2 linked regions of the Drosophila melanogaster genome follow. The protein of the gene in region 1 interacts with the protein of each later gene in a pairwise test. Each region holds a gene or a part of one and is shown in the gene's direction. Other genes may lie near its edges.

Region 1 (5,978 bases):
TTTAACCAATCAGCACACAAATATACAATATTATATTTACCACTTTGAATATCCCACTTCATTTCTTTCTGTGTAGAGAATAGAGCGAACCGACGAAAATTACTCTGATAACCGATTGTGTGCGCTGATAACTGATAGCCATGTTATTATTAAGGGCTATTAAAATTCTGATTGAAAATTCATGTCAAAAATATATTTTATTATCCATTATAAAACTTCATTTCGGTTCTTGATTACAACCGGGCAATATAGAATCCAATCGAATTGTAACGATTCGAATTGTTCAAAAACGATAGCTGCTTACACTTCTACGGTGATATGGCAATGCGAGTGCATAGATAGCGTTTTCAAATAAAAGCCGGTTGAGTTATCAGACTACCATATATGATGTCTAGCCTTATAATAACTACTCTATGTAATTTCTTGCGGGATAGGATTTGTTTAACTTATAGTGTTATTTAAAGTTTATAGTGAAATAGATGTTCCTAATTGCTGACACTCCCTTCATTCTTCATTTTGCTCGACTAGCAAATTCCGTCGCATTTTAATGGACGCACGTCAATCTCCTCTGCATATCAGTCAGATTTGTAGACGCTTCTCTAATTGGAAGTAGAGCAGATAGGGAATGGGATCTCTACCAATCCGATGGGAATCGGAGCGAAGAGCACTCCACTTGTTCACACTCCATCCTCGACGCACTAAATTTGGTGTGTAATTCTTTAAATCGTTGCCATGTGTTGGAGGAACGATGCCAAAACCGAGTGACACCAATAATCCGTAGCTGGGATCTGGGACGCCCAGAAAGATATTCAAATCTGTGGCGAAGACTGGAGGGACAAACGGGAGCTCATAACACTTATTTATGCGACCGATGAAATGGGAACATTAGCTCTTTGTGTTTTGTAAATATTTGTCATAATTTCGAGGGGCGCCCAACGACATGTGCGCCTCAACCAGACGATTTTTTTTTTTTTATTTTCAAGGCATTTAAAGATCCCCCACCACCATTGTGCATTTGTTTTCCGAGTTGTGCTTTTAATGTCGCAATTAAATGCATGAGTTTTTAAAAAAATTAGATGCCTGTCAAAATTGTCTAATTTATGGTTCACAGAAAGCTTTGTTCCAAAGTTGTCCCCCCAAAATTAAGAAGCTATTGGGGAACCACCAGCTTCTGCTTTTTTTCAGAATTTTCTGTTGGAATTTCAAACTGAAAATATTCTAATTTCTGCTAAGAAATGCATCTGCTTTAAACTTAAAGACTATCCCTATATTGTGTACTTTTGATTCAACATTTGGTAGATTTGGCTTATATATTCCTTTAAAAAGGTTGGCACAATTAAAAATGTATTGTTTTAATAATAGTTCCCGAAGGAGATCATCTAAATCTTCTCTGTTGTTACTTCTAGTCACGTATCTGCTGAGTAGTATGAAAACCAATTTCCCAGCATAGATAATGAAATTACACACTTGAAGCCATAACTAAATGGCAAACAATAAGAGGTGAAAAGCCCTTTGGCTGAATAAAATCAAACAGCCATGCGAAGTGGCAACCAACTTTGGCCCCCAGGAAATCACTTAGCCACCGTTCGCCGAGGCAGAAAGCATTTGAAGTTAATGGCGCAAAAACCAATCGCAAGTGCCAAGTCAGAGCTGCCAAAGGCAAAGGCGATTGGGGGATAGTCAAGTGCGAGGAATGCGACATTAGTGTTTGCCGAGGTGCCACGAACCACTTGAAATTAAATGGCGCGGCGCACTTCAAACGCCAGAGACAACAGCGATTACCAAATCGATGGCGGTTTGAGCTGATCTACAAAGAAAAGAAAAAGAAGATAGAAAATCGCAGAAAATCCAGAGAGCCCGCCCCCAAAAGCAGAGCAGGTATTACCAAACCAAAGGCCAGCAAACACGCGCCCAGCACACGCACACCACCCAACACCCATCCACTTCGCTAACCAACTCCCACCATCACCCACTTGCCACCATTGTTCGGCGGTGGCATTGATTTGAACGAATCAAAGCGGTATGCGCACTAAAAATACCAACAACAAGCTACCAAAAATCCAGATTAACCATGGCCAGCTGGAAAGGGGGCGTGGCCACGAGAATGGCAAATGGTGGTTGCTGTTCCGATTCCACTTGGACATTATTCCGCCGTTCCAATTGGAACCAGCCGTCGTCTCGCTCGCACTCGCATCGCCGCAACGCAGTGGTGGTGGTGATAGCGTTTCCGCTGAGTGGAAACTCGATTGCCGCTCCGCTCGTCAGTCGCCTGCAGACGCTCGCTGACAGCGGTAAAATCGGAGCAGCAGCAATCCGCATCCGAGCGGGCATTCACATCGAATCGTATATACAACGAGAGCCGTTCTCTCGCTGACGTCGCTGCCAGCGTCGACGTCGCTGCCAAATCTAGGCGAAAATCGCAACACTTGGCATACACAGCATATGGCACTTGGCCGCACTCCGAATCCCTGGCTAAAAGTCAAGTGCAGGAGCAGCAGCAGCCGCAGCAGCAGCAGCAGCGCCAGAAGCAGCAGCAGCTGCGGCGCCAGCAGAGTTTTCCAAGCTCGGCAGCAGAGATTCACTCTCGGTCGGGCGCCGGCGTCAGCGTTCCACGGATCCGTGATTAGGTTTTTACGGTGCTTCAGTCCGCTCGATGACGCCGAAGCCAGCAGTTATGCGCCCAGTAGCAGCAGCATCAGCAGTCAGAGCAGCAGCAGCAGCATTAAAGCCCTAAATCTGTGACACTTCCTTCCGGTAGCCACGTTGCGTATACGCCACCGTAACCGCATTCGCATGCCGTCGCGTAAAAACCAAACAGTTTCAGTGCCAAATCAAAAGAACCAAAGCCAGCTGATAAAAGCCTAAGCTAATCCAAAGATAAACATATAGAAAAAAAAAACTTATTGAATCAGTGATAAAACCGTTATGGACGTGGCCAAAATGCAAGCCACTTCCGGTCAGCATCTGCTGCATCCGGCCGCACCGCCCGCCCACCAACACCACCTGCCCCTCGACTACAGCCTGGGCAACTTTAAGCCAGCCATCGCGTCTGACTTTCCCGGACCCTTCCTCACCAGCCAGCAATCCTCGTCGGCCTCCAATTCCGCCTCCTCCTCCGCCGCCGCCACCGTTCCGCTGCAGGTGCGCGATCTCAGCGCGCTGACGGCCATGGCCACGATACCCTCGCCCACCCAGCTGCTTCACCAGCGCATACAGATGTCCGCGGACGCGGCCTTGGGCCACCACCAGCAGCAGCCGGCACAGAATCCCAATCCCAATCCGAATCACCCGCAGCCACAGATGCCGCCGGCCTCCACGTCGCCGCACGAGTACGCGCCTATGTCCGCCTTCAAAGCGGTGCTGCCCAAGAAGCGAAACTCCGACGGTAAGCCGGAATCACTCACTATATTTGCATGCTCAATCGTAAAAGCTTTGAAAATCCGTCAGCAATTGGGATTTTAGTTCTTGTCACTAAGTGAAATTGAGTTCTGTAAAATTTTGTTAAGTGCATAAATCGTATCAAGTTCATTGTCTCCAAATAATTCACTTTTGAATGTGGTTGATTGCTCATTTTTATATGTGATGATTTATATTTATTGAAATTCAGTGGCAAACCTGTGGCAATTTATTTATACAATCACTATAAATTGTATCAATAATTAATTACTTCGTATTTCAAAAAAAGCCTTCCACATATAAATATAGATGCATATTCCAATTGCATATTATTTATTCCATTTAGAAAGTTATCATTTTGTATTTCTAAAAAATTAAGTAGTCTCGTAAATATTTCAAAATTTTGCTAGAAAAATTCATCAAATATAGATTTTAATATTTAAATAAAATAATTCCTTAAAATTAAATCTGACCAAGTTTCTCAGAGATTTCTGAAGAATTTACTCTATTTAAATATTAGTAAATCAATAGATCGTTAAAAAAAAATGCAGTGAATGATATTCAGCGCATTTCTGAGTATCAACATTTATCAAATTAAATTTTTGTGCAGCCTGCGAACAGATTGGCATAAACCCAATCACACTCCCACCACATTTCATATGCCCCGAGTTAATTAAAAAAAAAAATGAAAACAAAAGGGACTGAAATCAACAACACAGAAACCGAAACAGAAACGGTGAGACTCCAATCCGCGGCGAGTGGCTACAAATCCCCCAAAGGCTGGTCAGCGGGCAATGTAGGAATTTTTAAAAATTTATTTGAATAATGTGTGATTTTAAAATATCACACACTGGCCATGTCCGAGTGAAAGCCCAAAGGCTGCACGGTGTCGGTTTAATTGGAAAAAAGCCCAAGTACGGTGGGAAAGCGTGGAAAGCAAAAATTGTTCGGGGGCAGCAGGAGCTGGCCGGGATATTCATTATTCCGTTTGTGTGTGTGTGTGTGTGTGTGTGTGTGTGAGTGAGCGCGACGCTTAATGGGCAAATCTTCTGTGCGGACATTGGGGCGGAAAAATGGATATCGGGGATTGAAAAATCCATAGCTGGACCACAGATACACAGATACAGATACGGCTGCGAACGGCAAACCATCGAACAAACTTGTAGATACACAGTTCAGTCCAGTCCAGTCCAGATACATCCACACACACAAGTGTGCTTGTGTATCTGTGTGCAGACGGCGTTGTCATCGCCATCGCTGTTGAATTTCAAATATGGGCATTGAATGAATGAATGAGCGTTCGCACGGGATCCACAAGCTTCAGTGTTGTCCGAAATGAACCGAACAATTTGGCTTTAAAAGGACTTTAAGAAATTAAATTCCTTATAAAATGGATTTCAGTATGAACCAATTTTGTTTTAATCTTTCACTAGCTAGATGCAGACAGCTGTGTCTCCTTTTTCCAAACTTTAAGTAGATTCGGACTTTTCCAGCCAAGCTGTCAGCACTGACCGTCATGTGTGTGTGAGTGTATCTCCCCTCTCTCAGTCTATCTTCCCTCCCATATTTCCCCACTCACACACACACACAGATACAGAATCAACACACACAGGGCAGCGACAAGCGGATTTCATTTACCGGCATTACATGTATCCAACGGATATGTTTTTAGCTCTCCACCGCTTCCAGCACAGACATGGATATGCGGAAAAGCAGACACACACACCAGACACACACACACACAGACGCACGCAAACACACACTCGCACACTGAATTTTCAATTCCGTTTGCCGCGACAAGCACCCCGACTTCCCCCCCCCCCTCTTTTCCAACCTTATTCTTTCTCTAGAGAAAATGAATTTCGCTTTGTTTGTTGGAATATTTTCTCGGTTTTTGGTGGGACAATATATATTGGTTGATGTGGCGAAAGTTCGCAGGGCTCTTTGGTGACTGATTGGCCCCTCCTGTTGAAGGACGTAAACTTTGTGAAAATCTGTATGGCACTGCAGTTTAAGCCTTTGAATTTAATGGATTAAAAGGAGATGATATTGTATCCTGAAAGTAGGCATCAGTTATTGCAATGTTATGTGGAATCTTAGAATTTCTTGCTCCTTCTCTGTGCAGCATTTTAAAGTCAGTAATTAATAGCTTAACCTCGTATAGAATAGAGTAGCTTGCTGTGTACCACTTATCTTTTCAACCATTGAGACACAACCTTGCCCCGAAAGGTCAGTCTGAAATATTGTCTCGATTTCCCATTAGCCAACCAACCACACACCCACGAGTGGATGATCTTAATTTTTGTCATTTGCCACCGCCGTATGACTCAATTAATGATGCCTGCGACTCTAATGCGTCGACTGAAATAAAATAGAACTTTGACACCGGCACTTGTGAGTCACGAATTAAGTTAAATTATGAAAATTGCTCGTACCCAGACTAAAAAGCCGACTAATAGTCAAAGGGATCATGGGTTAAATGGCAGCCAGTACTCAAATTACTTGAGCGCAGATCTCAGAGCAGCATTGATTCATTCCCAACGACGACGACCAATTGTCCGCCGCCCCCCCAAATGAGCATA
Region 2 (6,448 bases), on another chromosome or scaffold:
GGTGATTTACAGATGCCAGCGCTCCAGGGCTATTATAACCCATCCGCATATCCTTATCATCGATATTTCGCATAAAGGTGATGCAGAACTGAAGAGCGTCACGGGTAATCCGTTGGGTATGGTTTTTACCTACTTCCGGGCAGATCAAAGTATGATATTTGGTGATTGGGCTCTTGTTTATGATCATCTGAACTTCGGGACTGCCGTGTGCATCATCAATGGTCATGATCACCTCCTGGGCATCGACTTTATTGAAGTTGAACATCATGTGCTTAAAGGTGGGATTGAGGCTCTCGATGGTCTGGGGACGTCGGCGCTTACGGTTTCGATCTGAATTAAGCTGGAGGACAAGAATCAATAAATATTACTAGAGAACAAGAATATGACACTCACCTCCGCATAGAAGCCCCAGTATCCTGGTATTTTCCGGCTCTGAGGGGATTTCTCCAATTGATATGAAAACAGCCCGGGCACCTTGTGCAGCTGGTCCCATCTCACCTTCATGGCGTTGAGATAGAGCTGCGCCCTCCCCTCCAGACTCGTCTCGTACTTAACCTTGCTCATGGTTCGCCTACGGACCGGTCGCTTTACCTCCTGGTCCTCTTTTTGCCTGCAATCCGCGGATCGGAGGACTACCAGCGGCAGCAGAGTTGCAACCTTCAGCGAAAACCTGTTGCTAAAGCCGGCGGCTATAAAACTGCTGTATTTTTGGGCAACATATCGGTTGAATCGAAAGAAGGCTGCGAAATGCCGCGAAAACATTTCGTTTTGTGCTGGGCAGGGAAAAACAAACTGAAAATTTAGTACAATTTTAAGGCCCAGACAACCTGACAACCCAGACCGCCCAGACAGCTGATTGCTGACTTCAGCGGCGTGGCAAGAGGGTTAAAAAAAAAAACGAGTCAGCGCGTTCGTTTTTATAAATATGGATCCTAATAAAGTCCCAATTTCGGAATTTTATTAGTTAGAAGCTGGCGTACGAGATTTAAGAAGCATATTTTATTTTCTGAACCCCATTAAAAAATTTGAGCTACGCCTTTGATCCAAAAGACCTGCATCCCTGGTTTGTTTGCTGCTGAAATTGGCTGCATTCATCAACAAATGGCCCAAGTTCGAGGATCTTGCGAAAGTTTCTGTCCCGATGGGGAGGCGAAAATGTAGGTAAACGAAATTTAAACCCGAATTTAATATAATAACACCGTTTAATACATTCAGGCGTATTCGCGAGAAGCTTTTGCACTATTTCGAGCTAAAAAATGGCCAGAAGAACAAGCCAGGAGTCCTGGTCAAGGAGTTTACACGCTCCGCCGCCGATGTCAAGATGCCCATGCCCAAGGAAATGCGCACAGAAGCGGCATTGACCAAAACAGTGGAATATCTGCTCAAGGAGCAAGTATATTAGGCGCTTAGTTAGCCAAGTTAAATCTGATAATTAATATACTGTGCAGCATAATCCTGGACACACGAAAGCCGTACAATGTGGCTTACGACTTCATATTCGATCGATTGAGGGCGGTGCGTCGGGAGATCGTGATCCAGATGTACGATGCCAGTCAGAAGATTTGCCTGTTAGAGCCCATTGTGATGTTTCTGGCATATAGTCGCTATCGCTTGTGTGAGGAGCCCATCGAGAAGTTCGATCTCAAGATATGCAATCAGCATTTGCAAGAGTGCCTCACGGGAGTGCTTTGCTGTTACGAAGAACTGGAGGACTTGGAATCATCTAGAGAACCCACCGTTCGTGAGCTTGAGCGGCGCTGCTTCATAGAGAGCCTGTATCAATTGTTTAATCTGGGTTCTCCCGAGTCCTTTACACGCGCCCTCACCTTACCGGACTATGTGCGTCGGGATGCGACGTTTAAGCTTTGTTTTGGGATCTGTTTGGCCTTCCAACAGGGCAATTTGTATAGAGTGCTCATGGGTGTGCCACAATTGCCGCATATTCTGTGCGCGGTAGCTGCCGCCAAGTTGCAGGTGATAAGGAGGTACAGTATAACTTTTTCTATTGGATCTCTTATTGACATGATGCATTTTTAATGTAAATACATATGTATGTATGTATATTTGCAGGAGTTTGTTGCAGATTTTCACGCATGCCTACAACAACAAACAGCTTACGGTGCCGGTTCCTTACTTGTTGCGTTTACTGTTGTTCGATGGGCCAACAGGATTGCAGGACCAATGTCGGCATTATAATATATCCTTAACAGCGGATAGGAAGGCGGTGCAATTTAATAAGACTGATTTTAACCACAATGCAGAGGTATTTACACCCCAACACGAGCGCTTTGTGGAGTCGAAGCTGAAGCGTATTTATATTCCAGAAGTTCTATTGCTAAAGAAATTTAACTAGTTATTTATGAGCAACAATTGTAAATAGCTCGAAATAATAGTAAAGCCATGGAGATTAATTTATTGTTATTGCGCATTTGTTTTCTTGTCGGGTGGCAACCCTGGTGGCAGAACAACAAACCTATCGCTTATCGAAAGACAGAACGCCGCGGTATTTACAGCTAATAAATGGTTTGCCAGTTGGAGGTTAATAAAATGCAATTTTTGAATAGTAGTTAAGATTACATTTGTGCTGTTTTGCGAAGTAATGCGAAGAGAATAACCAATCTCCGCTGAATAAACCGCTTAAGATATACACAAAGCGCGCGCAGGGTTGCATTGTGGCGCCTGTCGCTGCACACTACACACACACACACCCCACACACGCAACGCGAGAGAAAGTACCGAGCCGTTTCTGGAAAATACAATTCCGCCATATTAACCGGCAAAATTCAAAATATTTACACTGCCCGAGGTGAGCGGGATCGAGGTGGTCATCCAAAGCGAGAATTAACCCGCCATTGGGCAGCAGGAGAGTGGCGGGCGGAGCGGAGCGAGCGGTACGCATCATTCGCCGTCTGCCGCCGCCGTCGCACAATAAACGATAGGCATTGGCCACAAAAAAGTGGAAAAAGAGGTGGAGGGAAAGGCCAGTTCAGTGCAGCAATACCGACGAAAACACGTACGTTTGTCCACTTTGGAAGTCTGGCGAATATATAGAGATATATACATAATACGGATTTTTGGCCAGATACTAATTGCCCACTTTTTCCGCAGCGCGCTCGCACACACAACACTAACACTCACGCACGAAGCAAGAGCGCCCACAAATACAAGCATACAGATACAGGCACACAGACAGGCAGACGGAGCAGCCGCGATGACAAGTCATCATCATCACGTCGGCGTCGGAGGGAACTTCCAGCCTCAACTGCATCAGATACGAGCGCCCATCGTGAAGAATCTATCGCTGGCCGCTGCGGCGGTACCGTTGCCCCTGCACTCCGCCCCGTCGTCGGCATACTTCACTCATGCACACCAGCCTACGGCGGCTACCATAGTCGAGCAAGATCCGTACACCGTTTTGGCGGGCGATCCGATGGGCGAGGAAAGCGAGAGCTTCCTGATCGAGGAGATCATCGACGACTATGATGATGAGGCTAATATCGTCGTAGACTCAGGCGAATTCTTTGAGCACTATGAATACTATCCGGTGGATCGGCTGGACAGACTTACCTCGGTCACGGTGGCTACGGCAGATGCACTGCCGCCGCCGATCATCATGCAGCAGACCAGCGACGATGAGGAATTCATCGAGGAGGATGGACAGCAGATGACATCCTCCTGCGATGGCGATGGCGATGAGGATGATGAGGCTACCGCGCCGGCTACGACAAATGCCTTCGAGATTGCCTCCGAGATGCTAACCACCATCGAGGCCACAAACATCAAGGAGGAGCAGCTCGAGAGCGACTTCTATATGAAGGCGACCGAGGATTCAAACAGTTCGAATGGCCAGCTGCAGGATTTTAAGCTATTTGGAAGCAGTCGCGTCGAGAGGCCCATGGGAAATTCAGCGGCCAAGCGCTGGAAGCAAACAAAGGTACCCATACGCATAACGCAGGATGAGTTCAATGTCACCCTTTGGTCCTCGCTCAACTCGGAGGATGAGGACGAGGAGGAGGAGTTGGAGGAACCACCTGGTTGTGCTGGCACCACATCCGTGACGTCCTCCTCCGCCGCCCAGAATGAAGGATCACCCAGCATGCCAAAGCTTATTATTGACGAGCACATGATCAACCACGATGTTTTAAGCGATGGCATCGGCAACGAGTACGTCATCCTACCCGATCCATTCAGCGCCTCTGCGGTCACGGATGTGGAGGAGGTGGTTAATGCATTTATGGGCGATGTCAAAGGCGAGGAGGACAGCCAGCCGCTAAGTGAACAGTTGATCTATGCGGAAAACCAGTTGGAAGAAGCTTATGGTAACATCGAGCTTATCGAGAACATGCCGAATAATGTGGAGCTGATACAGACACCGGGACCAGGTCCAGCCACTGTGTCGGTAGCGCTATCGAAGGTCAACGGATGTGTACCGAATCCACAGCCGGCTCTCCCAAAACTAGTGCTCCAGAACAGCAGCACCAATGTGCGACTGAAAAGTGCGGGAAATCAGTCAAAGGTGACAAAGAGGCAACTCACGGCGGCGGCTCAGGTGGCGACACCAAATCCCCCACCGCCACTAGTGGCTTCCAGCAATCCAGCCCGACCCCAACGACCCACAATTGTAACCAAATTACCGACTGCAGTGGCCAATCAGACGGCTGGTAATGCCATGGGAGCAGCTGGCGCGGCCGGCGAAGAGGATGAGGAGCCAAAGTTTCGCTGCACCCATCGCGGCTGCAACAAGGAGTTTCGCAACCACTCGGCCATGCGCAAGCACATGCACACGCACGGACCGCGCGGTCATGTGTGCAACGTCTGCGGCAAGAGCTTTGTAGAGAGCTCCAAGCTAAAGCGCCACCAGCTGGTGCACACCGGCGAGAAGCCCTTTGAGTGCACCTTTGAGGGGTGCGGCAAGCGCTTCTCGCTGGACTTCAATCTGCGCACCCACGTACGGATACACACTGGCGATAGGCCCTACCACTGTCCCATTGATGGCTGCTCCAAGTGCTTCGCCCAGTCAACGAACCTCAAGTCCCACATGCTGACGCACACGAAGCCCAAAAGGAAGTGGCCGCGCGCACCGCAAGTGAGCAACAACAAGACACCGCTGGTGGCCAGATACGGGCGACTGGAGTTTGGCGAGGATCCTCGTCTAGTGTACGTAGAACAGAACGAGGAGGTGGCGTCGGTGCTGCTGGATGGCACGTCCCTAACATCCTAACTAGTAGTGCGCTTTAATGTGTGGCAGGTATTGGCATGAGATGGTTAAAATATTAAAGCTCCTTTGGCTCCGGAAGGCATTATTGTACAGTTAGTTGTAGCCAGTTTTTATCTGTATCTGTAACCTGTAACGAGCGGAGCGGCCGGACAAGATTGTCACCTGGTGAACACATCCGCCCGCTGCCCGCCCTTTAAGTAAGTAGTGTAAGTTCATTCTCTAACAAAATAGGATTGCAGTGCAAAAGGAAGTTAGATGGTAGCCATTAATTAATTTCCTTCACGGATGAAGAGCAGTTCTAAGAGTTTAGCTTGTACCGTAGGCTAAGTGAGTCCCCCCGCAAAACCAAAACTGAACCGTAATCCCCGAAGAACTCAGCCAAACTGTCACCTTAAAAAGCCCCAATTTGATCTGATACTAATCGTGTGCGATCTTCGCTCGAATAACAAAACGCGCACTTTCTTTTCTACGAAAACAAAACAAACAAAAAAATAAGAAAAATACACAAAACTAGTTTTACCATATTCAATACGCATACACCATAGGCTATCTATATATTTTTGTAATGAATTATAACACTTAGAGCATTGAAGTACGGATTTAGCATGTTCAACGTCTGTTGGCGCTAACAATAATTCACAAATGGAAGCACATCAGTTAAGTCGGAATAAACAAGGGAAATACCTCTTCAAAATTAAACAAAAATAAACCAGGAAAACAATGCAACAACACTTGCGTATATCATTTATCATTTCTTTTTTTAACTATTTCACAGTGCGATTGTGTAAGCGTTAGATTTATTAACTGACTTTAAACTTGTAACTACTGCTAGATAACTACATTAAACGGTGAGGCAGCTATTGATGGACAGTCGCCGGGTGTTGTCCACTTCAGATTCGGATCAGCAAGCGATTAGATCGCCTCTTTGGACATGTGTCGCCTACAGCTACGTTCCATTCATTGATTGCGGTGTATAAACGCGTGCGGATTAGATAAAGCATCGCGGCGAGGTACAGATACGCGGCTATTTTGGATATTGGAACGGAGAACAGTACACACGATTGGTCTGGGCATGGTCTGATCGGTATTTTAGGTGACCTTGAGCCCATGTCCTTGAACTCCGGGAATAATATCCGCGATGGAGGCACTTGTTGGGCCAATCAATCCGGCCAGCGAGAGCAGCACGGAGTAGTTGAAGTACCAGAAAACGCAGAAGAGTACCATGAAAAT

Evidence for each region. The genes of interacting proteins can lie anywhere in the genome.
Region 2: the proteins of sens-2 (region 1) and phol interact in a two-hybrid assay, tested with the Drosophila melanogaster proteins (one large-scale study listed by BioGRID).

Annotation. Positions count from the first base shown.
Region 1 is NT_033779.5:6,819,675-6,825,652, forward strand, and holds the start of sens-2 (senseless-2), read left to right. Parts: upstream 1-2,259; 5' UTR 2,260-2,925; coding exon 2,926-3,385; intron 3,386-5,978.
Region 2 is NT_037436.4:9,452,303-9,458,750, reverse strand, and holds phol (pleiohomeotic like), read left to right. Parts: upstream 1-2,469; 5' UTR 2,470-3,013; intron 3,014-3,108; 5' UTR 3,109-3,211; coding exon 3,212-5,221; 3' UTR 5,222-5,948; downstream 5,949-6,448. Other genes in the region: CG3552 (uncharacterized protein), read right to left, coding at 1-340, 394-762; CG3437 (uncharacterized protein), read left to right, coding at 1,102-1,157, 1,216-1,389, 1,449-1,985, 2,071-2,353; ghi (ghiberti), read right to left, coding at 6,308-6,448.